Linked DNA regions of Nothobranchius furzeri. The protein of the gene in region 3 binds, or shares a complex with, the protein of the main gene of each other region. Links are inferred from orthologs where the notes say so. Each region holds a gene or a part of one and is shown on either strand. Other genes may lie near its edges.

Region 1 (6,203 bases), on a different chromosome or scaffold from region 3:
AACTTGGTCTTTAAAGGAGTGTTCATTGAAAAAAAAAAGTTATGATTATTCCTGATTATAATCGGTCACTCTGAGTTTTTATAATGCTGGCTGAACATGAAAATAGTCTCCTACACTGATCTCCTGCATTTGCTTCTGATAAAGAACAGACGGTGAAACTCTAGGATTTGAAAATCCTCAAAGATCTACGTCACACTGTCTCTTAACATTCATGGACTCACCCATCTTGGCTCACGACGGGGAAGGCTGTTGTTTTAACATTCGGGAATCGGCATCGGACGTCTCGGCTAGTAGAAGCTAACTGTTAGCAATAGCAACTTCACCACACGGCAGAACACCTTCAAATTGTGTGATTTGTGGAGATGAAACATCCATGTTGCAAGTCAGTGGTAGAGTCCAAATATCAGAAAATTAGACTCCAAACAACTTTTAGTAAGAAATGGAGCACTGGTAGATTTTTTCACCCCGAGAACAACTTACAAAGCATCTATTCCTGCTAGAGACCACTGCTAATGTGCTGCTAAAACAAGTGAACTGCACTTAAAGGGTCAAACAGTGTTTCTCTGTATCAAGTTAAACTATTCTTGAGTTGCATTTGGAGGCAACACAAAATCCCTTGACGGGCCACACTTGGCCCATGGTCCACAGTTTGGAAACCCTTGTGCTTTTTAAAAAGCTAATGTTCAGTACTGCCTTTTTACAATGCTTTGATCACCTCAGAGAAACATTATTTGATTCTGCACTGACTAAGTGGTGATAATAAACGCATCTTGAGTCTAATTATGATCGTATTTTTATAAGAAGACTTGAACACAGACTAAATAAAACCACTGGAGGAGGTCGTTTGAGCGTGGAGCGCCCGCGCTGACAGGGAGCGCTGTGTTTGGTGAAAGGTTAAATATCTGCAAAGCAGCCATGCACGGAAAGCAAACCCTCAGGAGAGCAGAGGTTTAACCACCTGGCTAAATAACCGGAGTCAGAGTGCAAAATTAGACTGCATATTTTAAATATTATTGGCTTACATTAGCTAGCAAGGTGTTAAATAACTAAAACACCTATTATTTAAATCTTCAGAAACATTGACGTGTGGATTTTCCGTCCCTTCCGTGTCAGCTGACACGCTCCCCAACAGATCAAACCCTGAATGCGTCTCAGGGTGGAAAGCTGAATTCTTTTGATTGAAAACGGTTCAAAGCGAAGCACCTGAGCGCTGGGTTAAAAAGATGAAACCCTGAGAGGACGCGATTTCCACTCCGAATCTCCTGAAGTGGATTTCATAAAACACGTCGGAACATTTTTATGTAAGGTGAAGAGCAGCAGCTGGTTGTTTAAAATAAAGCAGCCGGTTTCTTCATTAGCATGTTTGAACAGCCTCGTGTTTCTGTTTAATTTCATGTTCAGCCAAAGCGGGATCGGTGTTCCTGAAGATTTAGCCAGACGAGACAAAATGTTGGGACGTCGACCTTGACTGAACGGCTTTAGTGATTTGTGCAGCAGAGAAAAGCTCTTTACTAGCAACGGAACAAACTGTTCAGGAAGAATGTCAAAATCAGGCGAAAAGTAGCATCAGTTTTTGAAAACATGGAGAATTTGGCTAAATTTTTCCAAAAAAGCTTTGTTTACACATAAAAAGTTATCTTATTCTGATTTATTCTACATTTTAAGGTGGCTAGCTACCAAAAATAGCATTTTTACCTTAAAACAGTCAAGAGAGCCCAGACAGACACCCAGCTGTCATTTGTTTCACATTTACTTTAAGTGAAGTGGAAAGCTAATAAGCTGCGGTTTTAGGAGGGTGTTATAAGCTGAACTATTTCTTGACTTCCTTTAGACTCCCCGTCAGACTGACCACCTTCTGACGCTGCTTTCATATTTCACTTTGAGGGGTAAAAACAGAGGTGTTGTGAAAAGTTTAGTGTCCGTTAGATCTGACGTCGTTGAAATGGAGGTAAAATGTTAATAAGAAGCTCTCAGATTTATTTTGAGTCACCTTTTAACCCAGCGGGGTTAAAGATTCATCCAAAAGATGCTGCTTGAAGGTGAGTTTGTGTGTTTTATTTATTTAGTTATTTTTGAGGCGGTGGGTGGCAGGCAGTAGTGTTGGGGTGTTTGTGCAGACCTCCACCAGGTGGTTGTCTGGCCCATACAGATCTTTGTCCAACTCGATCACCAAGCTCTTAAAAAACGAGGAGAACTTCTTCTTCTGCTTCCCGGGCTGTTGGGACAGACGAGAGGTGGTGGGTTAGGATCGGCTGTGTGCACGTGTGGGTGGACTCACAAATATAGATGAATAGATGCACTTTGTTTTTAGCTTCATAAGGTGTAAGAAACCACGAGCAGCTGAGTGAGATCACATTAAAACAGTGAGCAGACGTATAAAGAACCCACTTCCTCTGGACCTAACCTGAAAAATTTTTGGTTTCTGAAACTTTCGCGCACTTTGCTGCTGACATCATCAGCTCCTACGGCTCAGAACTAATTACTGTCATCTCTAAACACTCCTAAAACCAGTTCTTTAAAGCAGCAATTCAGAGTTTTCCCTCTTTCAGGAATTATATACCGTATGATCTTTTAGAAATTAGTAAAAATGATAGTTTTACATTGGAGCCAGCCCCCCCCGTTCCATAGAGCCCCATGCAATTTGAAGCGTTAGACATGCACCATCACCAAGTGGGCGCATGAGTTGGACGACGTACCTAGACTGGTGCAGAGAATAATAATTGTGTTTTACCTCTGTTGGCTAGCTAAAGGTGTGCTTTAACAAACGAGAGGTGTTGCTTCTAGCTGTGATCACGAGAATAGAGAGGGGCTTGTGGTGCAATACACTTTTCCTCCTCTAGACGGTGCCCTCTGAAATAAAACTCCAAAGTTAACTAAAAATGTCTGAGAATCAGGGTTCGAATCACGGGGGAGCTAGGGGGAGCTCGGCTCCCCTGAAAAGGTGATAGGCTCCCCCAGAAGCCCTCAACTGACACATCCCGAGGTAACCTCAAAAGTGATCTAGCCCCCCCCCCCGATGGCGCAATAATGAAGGTGATCGGACGGACAACAGCCCCCCCACCCAAGGAAACGGGGCTCCCCCAGAAGACTGTGTGTAATTCAAACCCTGCTGAGAATACATGAAAATCCTCACATCTTCCAGCAGCTTGCCCTCAACTCTCAGTTCCCATGATGCAATGCTGCCATCTGAGTCGTCCGCGTCGGGTCGAGCCGGGTTGAAGGTGTTAGAAATATAGAGCCTTAATTTACGCTTTTGCTGCTGACACAAATGGAACATTAAAGAAAACAGGTTAGTATGAAATCGCCCGAGGAGGTCCACTCCACCATCCCGATCAGATCTTTTTCTTCTGGTTTTACCTTCATCGGTCTCTTCAGCGCCTCCTGGATGTCCACGCGTTTACGCATGATTGTCTGGTCCAGTTTGCGCTCAAAGGCTAGCAAATCCATGTAGGCCTGAGATTCTGGTACCAGCTCACGGATCTGCGCAGGAAGGAAGACACTTTAGGAACATTTTAATCAGAACCTAACAGGAATGAAAAAGTCAGATTTTTTCGTTAAAAATAAAAATTGAGTGTGTTAGCTGATTCGTGTTAGCTTAAATATTCAACACATATTAGCTAACACATCTTAGTTACTACAGTAAAAATAGTTATTTTTATCAAACGATAAAAAGAGATAAAACCTTTGCAGTTTTTAGTAATGTCATAAACTTTACATCACACACCTTTAGTGCTTAGCTGCAAGTGTCAGTAATATTTGTAGACAATCAGTATCTTGCATCCAAATCAATAAACTATGTATGTATAATCAGTCTGATTTGACAGGCGTTTAATTAAAGTAGTCAAATTGAGTGCTTGAACTGTGTTAATAGGCTAGATTAGCAGCAATTAGCACTTAATCCCTAACATGTTGTAAGGTTAAGCATGTGTATGCAGCTAATTTAATGAGAGACTAGGCATGTGTATTGCTGGCATGATATACCACATATATCGCGATAGATTCAGCCAGATGTTATTAGGAATTTTTTTTTTAGATTGAAGGCTGTTGGCGGTTTAGCATCCAAGAAACAGCAGAGAACGCCTCGGCTGATAGAAGCTAACTGTTAGCATTAGCAACTCCACAACACAGCTGATCTCCTCCAGGCTTGTGTTATTTGTGGAGATAAAACATCCACATTGCAAAGCAAACAGTGGTAGAGTCATGTTGCTGTTAGCCAATCAGAGGCGAGATGTCCAAATATCAGGAAGTAAGACTCTAAATACCGCCGTGTTAAGCTGTCCACTGATGTGGCATTCTGGTGGTTCATGAAACAGGCGCATCTGTGCTTTTTTTCTCCACCGAGCAGGACTTACAGAGCATTCATTCCTGCTATAGATCACTGCAAATGTAATGATTAAATAAGTGTCCCACACATTTAAAGCACTTTAATGAGGTTGCATGGAAATAAAAAGCTTTAGTAGAAGCCGTCGTGTGTGTTTAACAGGCATGAGGGGATTAAAATGAGATTCAGTTTTTGCAGACAAACAGCCAGGACTCCAACATTACCATACAGATGAAAGTCCACCAAGCATGGCGGGCTGCTGCACACTGCTCCTACAGCTCCTCACCCTCCCTCCAGCTTCTTTCATCTTTCTTCCTGAGAGCCTGCCTTCATTGTTCCATTCATTCCTCCTCTATCTGCGTCTCTTTACCGGGCCGAGGTGCCGAGCCGGCGGAGAAGTGTGGAAGACATTCCCCATGCCTGACTCATTGTAGTGGAGTGCCACCCCATGCCATGACTTCTGCTATCTCTCTGTCAGGGTAACGTCAGAGGATAAGACCTGAACATAGACGCCCAGAGCTCAGCAGACTCACCCCTCTCTCTTACAGGATGCGGTTAAAAACCTGATGCTACAGGAAGAAAATCACAACCTGCAAACGCCACCAACTCACCTGCGACTTGTTTCTATCCCACTCATGTCTGCATCTCTTGACACACCCAAACAACCACTTCAATTTTAAACAACAAACACCCTGAAAACTCTTCTCCACTCCACCCATCCCTTCTTATTTTGGAAATAACAAATTATCATCCGGCCCCTGGCGCCGCCTCAGGACCCCGGGCATCGAAAAGGCGACCAGGATCTTTCTGCTTTGCAGACAAAAGGTAAAAGGATACAGAAACACAACAAAGATAAATACATGCAGCCTCACCCTTTGCGGAAGAATCTTGTCTGCCATTTTCCTTCTCTTAGCACTACAGACAAGGAGAGAAAGACAGAGAGAAAGAGGAAAAAGAGAGCATGTTACTATGGTGACTGATAGCGTAGCACCCAGGCCATCTGCTAAAATGCTGGGCCATATCCAGCACCCCAGCCTCCCAGCTGTGTGTGTGTGTGTGTGTGTGTGTGTGTGTGTGTTTCTCTGTCCGTGTGTTCTCTGAAATGCAGCGGTCCACCTGGAGAGAGTGAGCCTCTACAGCCAACAAAGTGTCAAGTCACACATCTTCTGCCACACACACACACACACACACACACACACACACACACACACACACACACACACACACACACACACACACACACACACACACACACACACACACACACACACACACACTATAGGGTCACTGATGCTGCAGGTAGACAGGATGTGTTTAATAAAGCTTTTCAGGAATTCAGTCTTCACTGTTGTTTTCATTTAAAAAGACGCAAGTTTTCACTCCATTCATGACTTCCAAGCACTTACTTTTTAAAATTCTTTCATACTCACCAGAGACGGACAATACGTGTTCTTTAATTTCTGAAATTTTATCAGAATCTTTTTTTTCCCGTTGGACATTGATTAGAAAACAAAAGGGTAGCCTCTTCTCGAATTAGAAAGTTTAATTTATTTGAATGTCTTTAACATGATGTTGAGTCTGTTCATGCTAAAAAAAAGACACTGATTGGAAACAATTGCGCTGCAGTGTGAGCAAATCAGAATACTGATCAGAAAACTGTTTTTTGAGTGTACTAAAAGTTCAATATGTGGGGCACTATTTAAGCGTTACAGAAACGACCTCAGACGGGACCATGTGACGTATTCCACTGTGTCACAAGCTACAAGCAGCATGTAAATAAAGTAGGGGTGGAACTTTAACGCGTTAATTATGATTAATTAGTTAGAAAAAAAAGACATGTAAAAAAATTCACGCATTTAATCACAGCTTGCAATTCAAGCAA
Region 2 (6,203 bases), on a different chromosome or scaffold from region 3:
ATAAAATAGCACCATGTTTAACAGGAATGCCCCCAAACCTATTATTCCCATCTAAGGAAATTAATTTGAAGGCTGAGAATTATTTATTTATTTATTTTAAACAGTCTTGGATTATTTAGGAGACCAAATATCACACATTATATGCTAACATAAGTCCTGCAATTTGTCAGGACCAACCAAACAGGCTAACGTCCAGCCAATCACGTATTGTGACGTAAACGGCAGCTCCCTCAGCTGATCTGAGAGCCTGAGTACATCTGATACCCCTGCATTAATTCCATGTAGATTTTGGTGTTATGCAAAAATGCTAAATGTGTGAAAATTAAAAAAACTTTGCTTAAAAAATCTTTGAGTCAACTATTATGAAATTTTGAGCAGTTTGATCTTTGCTTTGCTCTGGCTAGCCAATTGTTCATCAGTCAATTTGGATATACACTTTGTTTCTCCATACTGATGTTCAGGAAAAGTGAGATAGTAGCAATGTCTTTAAGTACAAGGCCTGTCCGTGGACCAGTGTACGTGCATGCGTGGGTTTGTGTGTGTGTGTGTGTGTGTGTGTGTACAAAACTCAATGGAGGGTTTGTTACCCTTGCCAGTAGGTTTTGAAATTCTTCCAGTGTGCCCATGTCTCTCCTCGCGCTCGTGTGTGTGTGTGTGTGTGTGTGTGTGTGAAATCTTATAATCCTGTTGCATACGTGTGTTTTTTCAGGCCAGGCTGCAGGACAGATGTATACGTACCCTGCTCGTTGCTGGAGAAAGAAGAGGCGACTCCACCCTCCCCTGGATCCCCAGCTCCGCCTGTGTGAGCTTCGTCTAGGTAAGACAAGACAAACAACATACAGGCACATTGCTGCACCGAACACACACACACACACACACACACACACACACACACACACACACACACACACACACACACACACACACACACACACACACACACACACACACACACACACACACACACACACACACAAAAAGATGGTTTTGACACACCGTTGCACAAATAAAACCACTTTAACTCATGCATTGTTTCACCTTTGCAAACTAATGTCAATTTAATAGAAATGTTCATCATTTCTCTCAGGATTGGGCCATCTGGCTCTGGTTATCCCATCTCTCACACCAGGTCTCCAGGTTCATTCGCTCCCCTGAATCAATCCCCCCTCTTGCTGTTCTGTGGCTGCATGCACACACTTTATACTAACACCCCCCACATGTGACTCTTTCTCCCCGCTGCAGCTCAGAAGCACCCTTAGTAGGCCTCAATAGTAATTTATTCACAAGACAATGACATGTGAGTCGTATGAAGTGGCAGCATTGCTTTATGATGTGCATCCGTGCATGCTTACAGTTTTTGTTAGAGGGTTTAAGCAAAGGAATGCTCAGGAACCTGATAAGATGGTGGATAAAGGCATAGCTTTGTTTCTGCTTTCCTCATCCATTGTTTCACCCCTCGCTCTCTTCCAGACGCAATATAATACTCCAGAGCTTTCTGCAAAGAATGATTCCTTTTTAAGTTGAGGAAAGAGAGCTGCAACCTAAGTGCATGACAGAAAATCTCTACAGCTTAAAGCGAGGAGATGGAGCTTTTTCTGTTTTGTTGTTTCGTTTTGCAGGTTGACCCAAATATCTACAATAACACCATGGGGATGTGAATACTCTCCTTTGTTTTGTTCGATGGTTGATGTTTATTTAATGCATCCTGTGCAGAGGTTTGTCTGTGTGCACAGATGCACAGAGGAGCTGTCATGAAACAGTGGTTTTCTTTATGCTTTGCTCTGAGCTTTTAGTGTCAGCAGCTTTTCTTAAAATAAACCTAAGTGATGTAAAACTCGAACTAAAGCTTGAAATGGCCATCACTGTTAGGGTATACAATGAGGATTTAAACAAAATTGGCATAAATACAATACATTTACTGTAGAAATAGCCAGATGTTGTTGTTTTAAAATGAATTATTTTATATTTGGTGGCATTAAAAAAAATCTTGGAACAAGTGCAACAACAATCTGCAATATTTTTGGTGAATAATAAAAACAAATCAGTCTCACAGCTTTTGTGGGCAAAATTAGCATCATTTTAAGATATTGGCGATGAAACTGACTTCAGAGAAAAAAATAAAAAATCGGTCAGTCAATCAATCAATCAATCAATCAATCAATCAATCATCAATCAATCAATCAACAAATCAACCAACTAACCAACCAACAATCAATAAATCAACAAATCAACCAACTAACCAACCAATCAATCAATCAATCAACCAACTAACCAACCAACAATCAATCAATCAACCAATCAATCAATCAATAAATCAATCAACCAACCAACCAACCAATCAACAAATCAACCAACCAATCAACAAATCAACCAACTAACCAACCAACCAACAACCAATCAACAAATCAACTAACAAATCAACCAACTAACTAACCAACCAACAATCAATCAATCAATCAATCAATCATTGACCCAACATAAAACCTCTCTTCCCCACCCAGAAATTTTAATTATGATCACATCTATTGTGGTGAAGTAGGAGCTGAGCCAGAAAGCCAGGCTCTCGATTTACCGGTCGATCTACGTTCCTACCCTCACCTATGGTCATGAGCTTTGATTAATGACAGAAAGAACGAGATCGCGGATACAAGCAGCCGAAATGAGTTTTCTCCGTGGTGTGGATGGGCTCAGCCTTAGGGATAGGGTGAAGAGCTCTGTCATTCGGGAGAGACTTTAAGTAGAGCCACTGCTCCTCCATATCGAGAGGAGTCAGTTGAGGTGGTTTGGGCATCTTGTTACGATGCCTCCTGGACGCCTCCCTAGGGCCAGCAGGAGGCCCCCTGGCCGACCCAGGACACGTTGGAGAAAGTACATCTCCGACCTTGCCCCGGGAACGCCTTGGGGTCCTACCGGAGGAGCTGGTGGAGGTGGATAAACGGAAGACGCGATCACATTTATGTACCCCTCTTCCCCATTTATAGCCCTCAAGCACACACACAGTCATGTTAAATCTTTGTTAAACTTGGAGAAATTTTTGTTTGTAACAGACAAGATCAAGGACTGTTGACAGTTTTTACAGCAGGAAGCTCTGATATATAAGATGACACAATAAATGAAAGATTTTAATAATAAGAAGAATGAGAATAAAGATCCAGAAACAACCATTCTTCTGTGGGTCCAGACTGATGTAGAAACCTACCTTTTAAGTCATTTATGGACTCTCAATCAACTGGAAATATATATTAGATCAGTGTAATTAGAAGGGAAGGAGTATATTGGCATTAACAACTTGTCCATCTCCTGGCATACGTTAACTTTTGATCATTTTGAATCAAAACATAATTTATCACAACTTCAATATACATGGTGTTTTTTTAAATGCGACTTTATGCAACAAAAACTTCAGGGCTTGTGGTAAATATGAATAAGCATTTCATTGTTGCAGCATATTAAATGGCCAATAGCAACACATTGCTGTGTGGCGCGTTAAAGAGAAAATGTCCATGTTATAAATGCATTTTCAGTTTTTCCTTCCAATAAAAGCTTGGAACGACAAGCAGTGAAACAAAAAAATCCATTGGCTGCCATCTTTAAACACATGACTCTCTCTCTCTCTCTCTCTCTCTCTCTCTCTCTCTCTCTCTCTCTCTCTTTATATATATATATATATATATATATATATATATATATATATATATATATGTGTGTGTGTGTGTGTGTGTGTGTGTGTGTGTGTGTTATATTTTTATTTTTATAACTATTTCTATCCTTACCGTGCCTCTACAGAAGCAGAGCTGGCCCCTAAGCGTGAGGGGCCACCAGGGGAGGCCACGGCCCTGGAGGCCCTTCTGAGGAGTGACAACCTGCTGGAGAAAAAAAACAACATCGCTAAAGAAGAGGAAACTCTGCTGGAAATACAGGTTTTTGTGCATTTTTTGTATAATTCTAAAACAGGTTTAAATAATGTCAGGTTATCTATTACTAACGAAATGTGATTGCAGCATTAAAACTTGTAGAAAAGTACCTTTGCACCATGGAGCGAAGCATACCTCTGTGTTCTGCTTTGCCTGATTTTTTTTCATGCAGTGAGTTATTTTGGTCTAATCATGCAGAGAGTGCTGGAGGCGGAGGAAAACGGGGACAGTTTCCACGATGAGGATGAGTTTGAACTTGATACTCCAAAGAGAAAGAACAAGAATAGAGGAAAAGTAAGTGAACAAGACGTGAGACACCAACTCCTCTCTGAGGTTTGTGGTGTGAAGGGTAGTATGGACGCCAACAGGGAACATGTTTTGGGTGTAACATGAGAAAAACTCATCTTTGCACCATTATTTTATTTCATTTTTTGCGAAAATAGATAAAATGAGTCTAATATCTTAATTATCTTGGTTAGTTGGTTAGTTTCCGGAACTGCGCTGCTCTGGGTGGCTCCATGTTGGAGTAGCTCTGTTGACTATATGTAAGTTTTGCCTTTTTTTGGGACATTTTACTTTTCTGTTTCTGGTGCTGTGAAGCTTAGAGGATTTTTACTGCAATTTTTTCACTTTTTTCACTTTTTGAGCGTTTGTTATGATGCGTAACCATGGTTACAAGCTGGTTTACAATCGGGAGCAGCTGATTAACATTGGAAAGGCTGAAATAATACCTCAACTGAAGCCTCAAGTCCCAAATGAGCTAAAATGCAAGAAGCGTGTATGCAGAGCGGGAGCAAAACGGAAACAGAGAAAGAGGAATTTCAAACCATCTCTTCCTTCGATCATAATGGACAATGATAAATCAGGTGCTGGTCAGCATCAGAAGCAGGGACCTGAAAAGGCTCAACAGCCTAATAAAAAAGGCTGGTTCTGTTCTGGAGATGACTGTGGAACCACTGGAGGAGATAATGCAAAGAAGGATTCTCCAGAGAATCAAGAAAATGATGGACAACCCTGAGCATTCTCTTCACAAGACTGTCCGACAACGGAAGAGTGTCTTCAGTCAGAGGCTTCTTCAGTTTGGCTGCAACACCGACCGCTACTGGAGATCCTTCCTGCCAACAGCCATTGTAATATACAACAACTCTTTGATGACTAGATTATTATTATTATTCTCAGCAATCAATTTCCCCCTGGGATTAATAAAGTATTTTTGAATTGAATTGATTTGAATTAAAAAATGCATGCGTGTTGGATTTTTGTTTTAACGCTGGAACACGTGCAGGATTCCACACCTGATCGATGTTTATCGTTTCCCTCCAGAACAGAGGATCAACTCGCAGAAGGACAGAACCTGTTAATACTGATGACCAGGATAAACCTTACGTCTGTGACAGTAAGGATACAAATAGCTTGCTTTTTTTGGTCTGCTTGTCACATTATCCTGCTATTAAATTAGAGAAAAGAAGATGAGTGTTTCTCTAATCCTTTAATGATACTGTTTTATCTGTCTGGTCCTAAGAACTGGTCCTGATCTGCAGCATGAAAATAAATCCGTTTCTTCAGATTCGATTTGACCAGCATGCCTCTTTTGTATTTGGACAGAATCCCTCTCAGGAATGAATTGCCCTTTTTTTGATAGAGACTGAAAAACAAACTCCAACAAATGAATGTCATCCTCATTTTATGTCTCGTTCTGTCTTTCCGTTATTGTCTGCCTTTGTGTCTTCTCTGTTTCAGATAGATACAAACAAAAGCATAATTCAAAAAAGACTGAAGAAGGTATCTGAACGAGTCACACTATTCTCTTGCTAGTGACTACTACCATCAGCCGTTTCTGCTAACATAGCTTCTGGCATGAGAATGGCTGAGTGAATGCTGCTTGTCCAGAGCTCCTCCTCATGAAGTCAGCGCGAACGCTGCATTACACTAACGCTACGCTCGGACAGTGCAAACTTAATCTACATTAGAAGCTCGGCTGATGCTGCACAGAGGGATGCATGTTTCGTGTGGTTCAAGCTAATGACTCACAAATCCTGCAGAAGCGTTATTTTTTTTTAATAATAGGATTATTTTTGAGGATCTCCCTAAAATTTGAACTGAAGTGGTTGCAGCGTTGTTGCACAGAAAAATCTGGATAAACAGTTATTTTATTGTAAGTTTTTCTTGTTTCCTGCTGTTTTAGTCTGTATTGGAGATTTAACCAATAGAATCTCTTCTTGGCAATAAATATGAAGCAGAAAAAGCTTTTCTACACCCTTATATTCATTGAATGTTTTCTTTCACGTG
Region 3 (6,203 bases):
TAAAACCAAACTTTGACGAGTTTGTATAAACAGCTGCTGATTAAAAATTCTTCACCAAACAAGCACAAAGTTGTGTCTCAAAATTATTATATAAAGTCGTGTTTTAATATTCAAAGGAAGACTTCTGCTTTATCCTTTTATTAAGTACATACTGTTCTTAGACATGCAGCCATCCTCCAAACTGGCACCGGCAGACGAGTCGTCCAAGTCCTTCGTGATGTCCTCCTCTGTGTCCTCCTCCTCTCCTCTGTGACCCCGTCTCTTCCAGTGTGGCCCAGAGTTCCTGAGGGGATTTAGTTTTATGGTTAGTCAAACAGGAAAGGGTTAAATCCCTCCTGGTATGGATGAACATGCCGACAGCGCAGCATTTCATCAGAAACATCATTTAATAAGCTGCCAGTGACGGATGTAGGAGGAGAAATGAAACAGAACCAGAACTCAGCAGGTCAGACTGTTGAAAACATTGGAATCAAACTGAGAAATCTGCAGCTCTAATAATTAATAATTCACGAGAAGCTTGTGATCTGGAATATCTGTGTCACCTCAATGGCTGTTATAATGCATGGCAGTTTTATTTATACAGCATATTTTACACAGAGACAATTCAAGGTGCCTCGCTGCCTCTGCAGAACCCCGTAACAGTTTCTTTTAGGGCTGCTCGATTATGGCAAAAATGATAATCACGATTATTGTAACTGAAATTGTGATCTCGATTATTTAAGATGATTTTTCAATTATTGTTAATTTTATTAGTTTGTTTCTTTATTCAGTCATAAAATTGCTCGGGGCACAATCAGGACAAAAGTAAATACGAAAAAGAAATTAACAAGATGATCACTAAAACAACTCCTGAGTCCTAGTATGTAAAGGCCAATATAGTTGCTCATTATTTATGACCCAAAGGGCTGAGGTTTAACTCATTTAAGCCTGACCAGTACAGACCCACATATCCATCCAGCTTCTTGCAAATACTGGCAGCAGGAATCATACCGTGGCATTTTTAACAAATAAAAAACAGATAAACATATGTGTTTTAGTTACGTTCACAAAATTTTGCATAATATTTATTTAGTCCCGTCAAGCGGTGCTGTAGGGGAGTGTACACTAGCAACGTGTCCTCATAGACATCATTTATCAGCAAGGAACTTATTTCTATCTATTTCTACCTTGTTTATAAACTATTTATTTACAGGTCGCATCAGTTAATGTAATAACTGTCCCAGCCACAGCGATCGGAGGTGTGCTGCAACCCCCCACCCGGCCTCACAGCAGGCAGGGGCAAGCTGCGTGAGTTTAGCGCGCCACACATGCACATTTTGCCGTTTTTAGCGGCTCAGGAGCCTGCAGGTACAGTGTGTGTGTCACTCACTCTGGTTAATTCAAGAGGGAGCCGCCTCTGAGAGCCGTTTCTTTTGCGACCAACATCACAACATCATTCCCTTTCCTAATGTCCTGAAGGACCGGTCCGGAGCGCAGGCAGAGTGTTTTGCTAACGTGCAGGAAATGCCAACGACGGTAGTAGCCAAGGGTTATCAGAAATGTTTCTGGGTTTATCACTAGGCACTTTTAAGATTCAAAAAGTCAAGATGGGGGTCTGAAAAGCTGTTGGAAATTGCAACAAAGTCGCCAAGTTGGCAACACTGTGGGAGGAGCGCTTGATTTGCAACTTGGAGCAGCACAAGAGGGAGGAGCAAATAACAGGGTATCTGCAGGTTTAAGGGAGCCAAATTTAAGACTTTAAGACCATTTTTAAGGCCACCTTGACAAAAATTTAAGCTATTTTTAAAAATTAAAACTAATTTCCAGCCATTGCCTGGAACCGGTGCTAACCACGTCGCGAACGTGGGATTAGCCATCCAGTTACCATTAAACTTGCACTTCCCCATGGCGCAAGCTCCCACTAGCTTAACCAGCTAATGTGCTCATCTAAAAATAGCCCCCTTTCACAACCAACTGAATGTGTACGGCTCCGCTTACGCCAACATCATACACAAAAAATGCTGAACACTAACTAGAAATTCATGAAAATTTTATAGAAATAAAATTGGGTATTTGGTAATTTAAGACCTTTGGAAACTGTACTTAAGGATTATTTGTAATTTTTAAGGACTTTTAGGGCCTCAAATTTGGAAAAGCAAATTTAAGACTTTTTAAAGACCCGTGGATACCCCGAAATAATCAGCTTGTTTTGTTTTTAATAATCGCTCAAAACTCAAATCGTAATTGGGATTAAAATTCGAATAATTGAGCAGCCCTAGTTTCTTTCCTTAAAATGTAGAAAAACAAGCATACCGAGTAACACATGATTTAAAAACAAATGTATATTGACCCTTAAGTAACAACGGTACAGATCTTTGATAAATTTTTTAAAAGCTAAGATATCAAATTGGCCTTCTTACCCTTTCTTCCCTCCCTTCTTGCGGGATTCGGCGGGAGTGCTGGGCGGCGAGGGCGAGCGTCTCCTCTTCTTGCCAGCAGAGTTTGCCTTGCGCTCCTTGCGATCAGGTGTACGGGAAGACTGATCAGACAAACCCCGAGCAGCACAGGGAGCGAGGGATGGAGGATGAGAGAAAGAGCCACAGAATGAGAGGATGGAACGGCTGCACACACAAGGAGGGGAAGCAGCGGGATAACAACAGCAGGTAGGGGAGAGGATGTTTTGTTGGGTGGAAGACACAATCAGGGTTCCTGTACACTAACGCACTAGAAAACACTAGTTCAATGTGGTGTAATGTGTTACTTTGTCATAAACAGGTTTCTGTGAAATCACTGATGGTGACCTGGCTTTGTATCTACTGGAATTGTAAGTTATAATATTTTTTGTCCAACAGAGTGAATCTTTTTATTTTGTGGCTCATTTGGAATCAGTTAGCTCGTGCTTGCATTAGCTCGCTGTTAGCAATAGCTACAGCAGGCCTTGTCCTGTCCAGGGGTGTCCAGTGCGTAGGGTGCCCCTTTTGCCCTTGCTTCGCACTTTTGCATTACCCACAATCCATTGCTGCACGGGAATTTTCAAAAGAAGGCGGATCAATGGCTCAAGTCTCTTTTCTGAAAATATGTATTTTCAAGAAAGAAGTTAATTTCCGGGCGAATAACTATATTTATTCATGCTCTAAATGTTTTAGACTAAAATTTAATGTGGACAGCAATGAATGTAAATTTTGTCAAATAATTGTTAGAAAGTTAATTAAGATTATTATTTTTTTAAATAGCATAAGAAGCAACCAGCATGTGTCACTGTAGATGACACAATGCTCCATGTCCCAATTTGGCACACTTGTGTACTACACACTCGAGCCCCTACTGTGCACTTCCTCAACGTGTACTTTACAGAAAATCGTAGGCCACAGTCTAACCCCGGGTTTCCACGGGAGCCGTCAGCAGCACATTACTGCAGCAGCACGTCTTGCTCGCGTAACCTGCTGCTTGGCCCTTCCCACGAGGCGCGAAGCAGCAGGGGAGCAGCTGTCACCGACCGAGCACGAAGTCACACGAGTGACTTCGTCAGTAAACACAACAACAAGCAGGAGAAAACTACAACATGGTTTGCGTTTTATGTTCTGTCCGTTTTATAATCACCAATACGGACCTGAAAAACAAAGGAGACCGCTAGCTAGGTGATAACTTCTCACGGGGCCGCACAGTTAGTAACCTTTTTTAAAAGTAAAGCAAACGGAAGGCAGTACGTTCTTTATTCTGAAAATCTCGGGAGCTTCTCTCCATTTCCGCGTCCGATTTCCTGTCTTTCCTTCCCCAAAAATTTCGAACTTGACCCGTTTCAGAGGCGTCGCGCGTAGAAAATAGAACCGGCGCGTAAAGGCCGCGACATGCTGCTCCTGAGACGCGGCCGACTCGCGCTGCTGACGGCTCCGGTGGAAAAGGTTCTGTTGACCACAGCGGTTCCTATCAGCAGCTATGACGTGCTGCTGACGGCTCCTGTGGAAAGCCGGGGTAAGTATTGGTGTTGAACCGTAGTTGTTAACGACAGTTGTAACTCCACTTTAAACCAGTAGGAGGGAGAAGTGGGAAACTTCTTTAGTGTTGCTTTAATAAACACTCCCTCTTAACACAGACAGGAACCCTGAAAAGTATTTAAAGGACACAAAATGTGAGGAAAGGTTTGAAAAGGATGAGTAAGAAACGGAACCGGACGTGGACGAAGGAAGACGACAGAGAACAACCTACAAGGCAAAGCTAAACGCAACAAAACACAAGCTTGCAACAGAATATAACATCACTCAAAAACAATTACATGTGATATAATCAGGACGTTGTTCCTGACCTCTGTGACTCTGAGGTACATTTATTAAAATCTGCATCAAACAGCTACCTCCTCCTCTTTAGGGAAAATCTTCTGTCGGAAGCTGACTGGCTTCTTGTTCTCGTCCACCTCGTAGTCCTCTTCATTCATCCACTCATTGAAGGCATCGGTGTCTGAAACCCATTTGGCATGAACCTGACATAAAAGTATATGGAGAGAAAGGGTGGTGGTTAAAAAAACAATAACTCAGTGTTTACTGCTGTGAAGCATCACAGGAGAAAAGCTTCACGGACACCAAAAATGATTAAATCAATTTACAATACAAATAGGATGCAGTCATTAAATTATTGAAAATAATTAATTCTAAAAAGTTATGTTTTCCACACATCAGAAGGGTTAATACCAATATCTAGATTTACATGTTTTTTCCAGAAAAAAAAGTTTTCTGAGCAGCCAGGCTAGTTTTACGCTTGTGTGTCTATTTATGAAATCTTCAGTGCTAAACAGATCATTTTGGTAGAGGGTGCTCCACCTTCCAGGGTCGGTCAGCACTGGGAGGGTCTTCAACGTCTCCGTCCACCTCACCAGCTGCCACCCAGGTGTCGTAGCTGGTAAAATACATAACAGACACAGGATCAGTAAGGTGGTTAATCTGGGTGATTTCAAAACAAAAAACTTGGCAAAAATGTCTCTGACATTAGATTTAGTGTTTTTTAAATTACTAATAAAAATAGAAACTGAATAACTTTAGAGAAATACTCCTGCAGAGTAAAAACATATCCACAATAAAGAAAAGCATGTCCGAGTCTCTCTGTGATCCTTTCTGATTACCTGTCAGGGGAAAAGCCCCAGTGAACAAGCACCTGCTTGTCTTTCCTCATCACAGGACGTAGCCACTCTTCTGAAAAACACAACCCCCAGCACAACTTCAGCAATTAGCGAAGATTTTATCCGTGCTGTGACAAAAAATTCCCATTTTCAAGAAGATCAGCTAAATAAAGCCTCCATAAACGGAGCTAAATGATCTTTATTCTGATCTAGATGTGTTTGATGGGATAGAGATCACACTATAAATGAGTCAGATCAGCAAGGAACAATAACACCCAAGTTCAAACATACATCATAAAATGTATGCACAAAGTCACAAAAGTTATAAACCAACCTTCTTCCTGCTGCTGAAGAGAAGGATAAATGTGGTGGGTGGCCTTTGACTTATCCTCGGTGGTGGAGCCCTGAAGAGAAACAAAGTTAGATAATTGAAAAGACAAAGACGTTCATGCTAGTCATAATAAAAATACATAAAAAAATAAACTGTTTTTATTTCCTGGTTTGAAGTGAACTCACCTGGTGCCTTTTGACGATGTCTTTGAGCTTACTCGCTTGTTTTTGCTCTATTTCCGAAGACAGGTAGACCAGAGGTCGCGTCAAGCAGTTATTCTACAAAAACACAAACCATCGATAAAACCAGACGTTACCCATGCAGAGGTCAAATATATAGAAGACAAAAAGTCTGTGTTCAGACTGGGATGCTCATACCTGAACCAGGTTCTTCTCAACATTTAAGAACATCTCCACATTTCTGTCCATCCTTGAGGGATTCTGCAAATCAAATCTTCGCCTAAGAGTAGAGTTCATAAAGCAAAACCAAATTAGTTTTAAGACGAACACACAACTGACTAAAAGTTGAATATCCTTTTGATTTCATGCAGTATGAATTTTGTCACATTTTACAAGATGTTCAGTTCGTGGTACTGGTGTAACCAAAGAGTTAAATTCTGCTAAACCACTGGTTCAAAACAATCAAAGAGGTTAAGTTTGGGTCATACCAGTTTTGAAGTTAAAAATAAATCCACTCACCAGCCCTGTTCACTTTTAAACTTATAAACCGAGCCCAAGATGTGACAGAGAGCCCCTCCAGCCTTAAAGTCCAGGAAACACTTGG

Evidence for each region.
Region 1: smarcc1a (region 3) and smarcd3b share a complex: the UniProt entries of both Homo sapiens proteins name them as parts of the BAF complex. The link is inferred for Nothobranchius furzeri from reciprocal best matches to the Homo sapiens genes SMARCC1 and SMARCD3.
Region 2: smarcc1a (region 3) and dpf3 share a complex: the UniProt entries of both Homo sapiens proteins name them as parts of the BAF complex. The link is inferred for Nothobranchius furzeri from reciprocal best matches to the Homo sapiens genes SMARCC1 and DPF3.

What each region holds. Positions count from the first base shown.
Region 1 is NC_091747.1:45,527,346-45,533,548, forward strand, and holds part of smarcd3b (SWI/SNF-related matrix-associated actin-dependent regulator of chromatin subfamily D member 3b), read right to left. Parts: intron 5,237-6,203; coding exon 5,194-5,236; intron 3,481-5,193; coding exon 3,358-3,480; intron 3,260-3,357; coding exon 3,134-3,259; intron 2,216-3,133; coding exon 2,120-2,215; intron 1-2,119. UniProt on the Homo sapiens protein: Involved in transcriptional activation and repression of select genes by chromatin remodeling (alteration of DNA-nucleosome topology).
Region 2 is NC_091742.1:25,624,186-25,630,388, forward strand, and holds part of dpf3 (zinc finger protein DPF3), read left to right. Parts: intron 1-709; coding exon 710-817; intron 818-3,786; coding exon 3,787-3,920; intron 3,921-4,112; coding exon 4,113-4,208; intron 4,209-5,237; coding exon 5,238-5,310; intron 5,311-5,654; coding exon 5,655-5,696; intron 5,697-6,203. UniProt on the Homo sapiens protein: Belongs to the neuron-specific chromatin remodeling complex (nBAF complex).
Region 3 is NC_091745.1:65,009,257-65,015,459, reverse strand, and holds part of smarcc1a (SWI/SNF complex subunit SMARCC1), read right to left. Parts: coding exon 6,119-6,203; intron 5,880-6,118; coding exon 5,798-5,879; intron 5,699-5,797; coding exon 5,606-5,698; intron 5,494-5,605; coding exon 5,424-5,493; intron 5,163-5,423; coding exon 5,093-5,162; intron 4,870-5,092; coding exon 4,794-4,869; intron 4,457-4,793; coding exon 4,331-4,456; intron 2,519-4,330; coding exon 2,400-2,518; intron 284-2,399; coding exon 153-283; intron 1-152. UniProt on the Homo sapiens protein: Involved in transcriptional activation and repression of select genes by chromatin remodeling (alteration of DNA-nucleosome topology).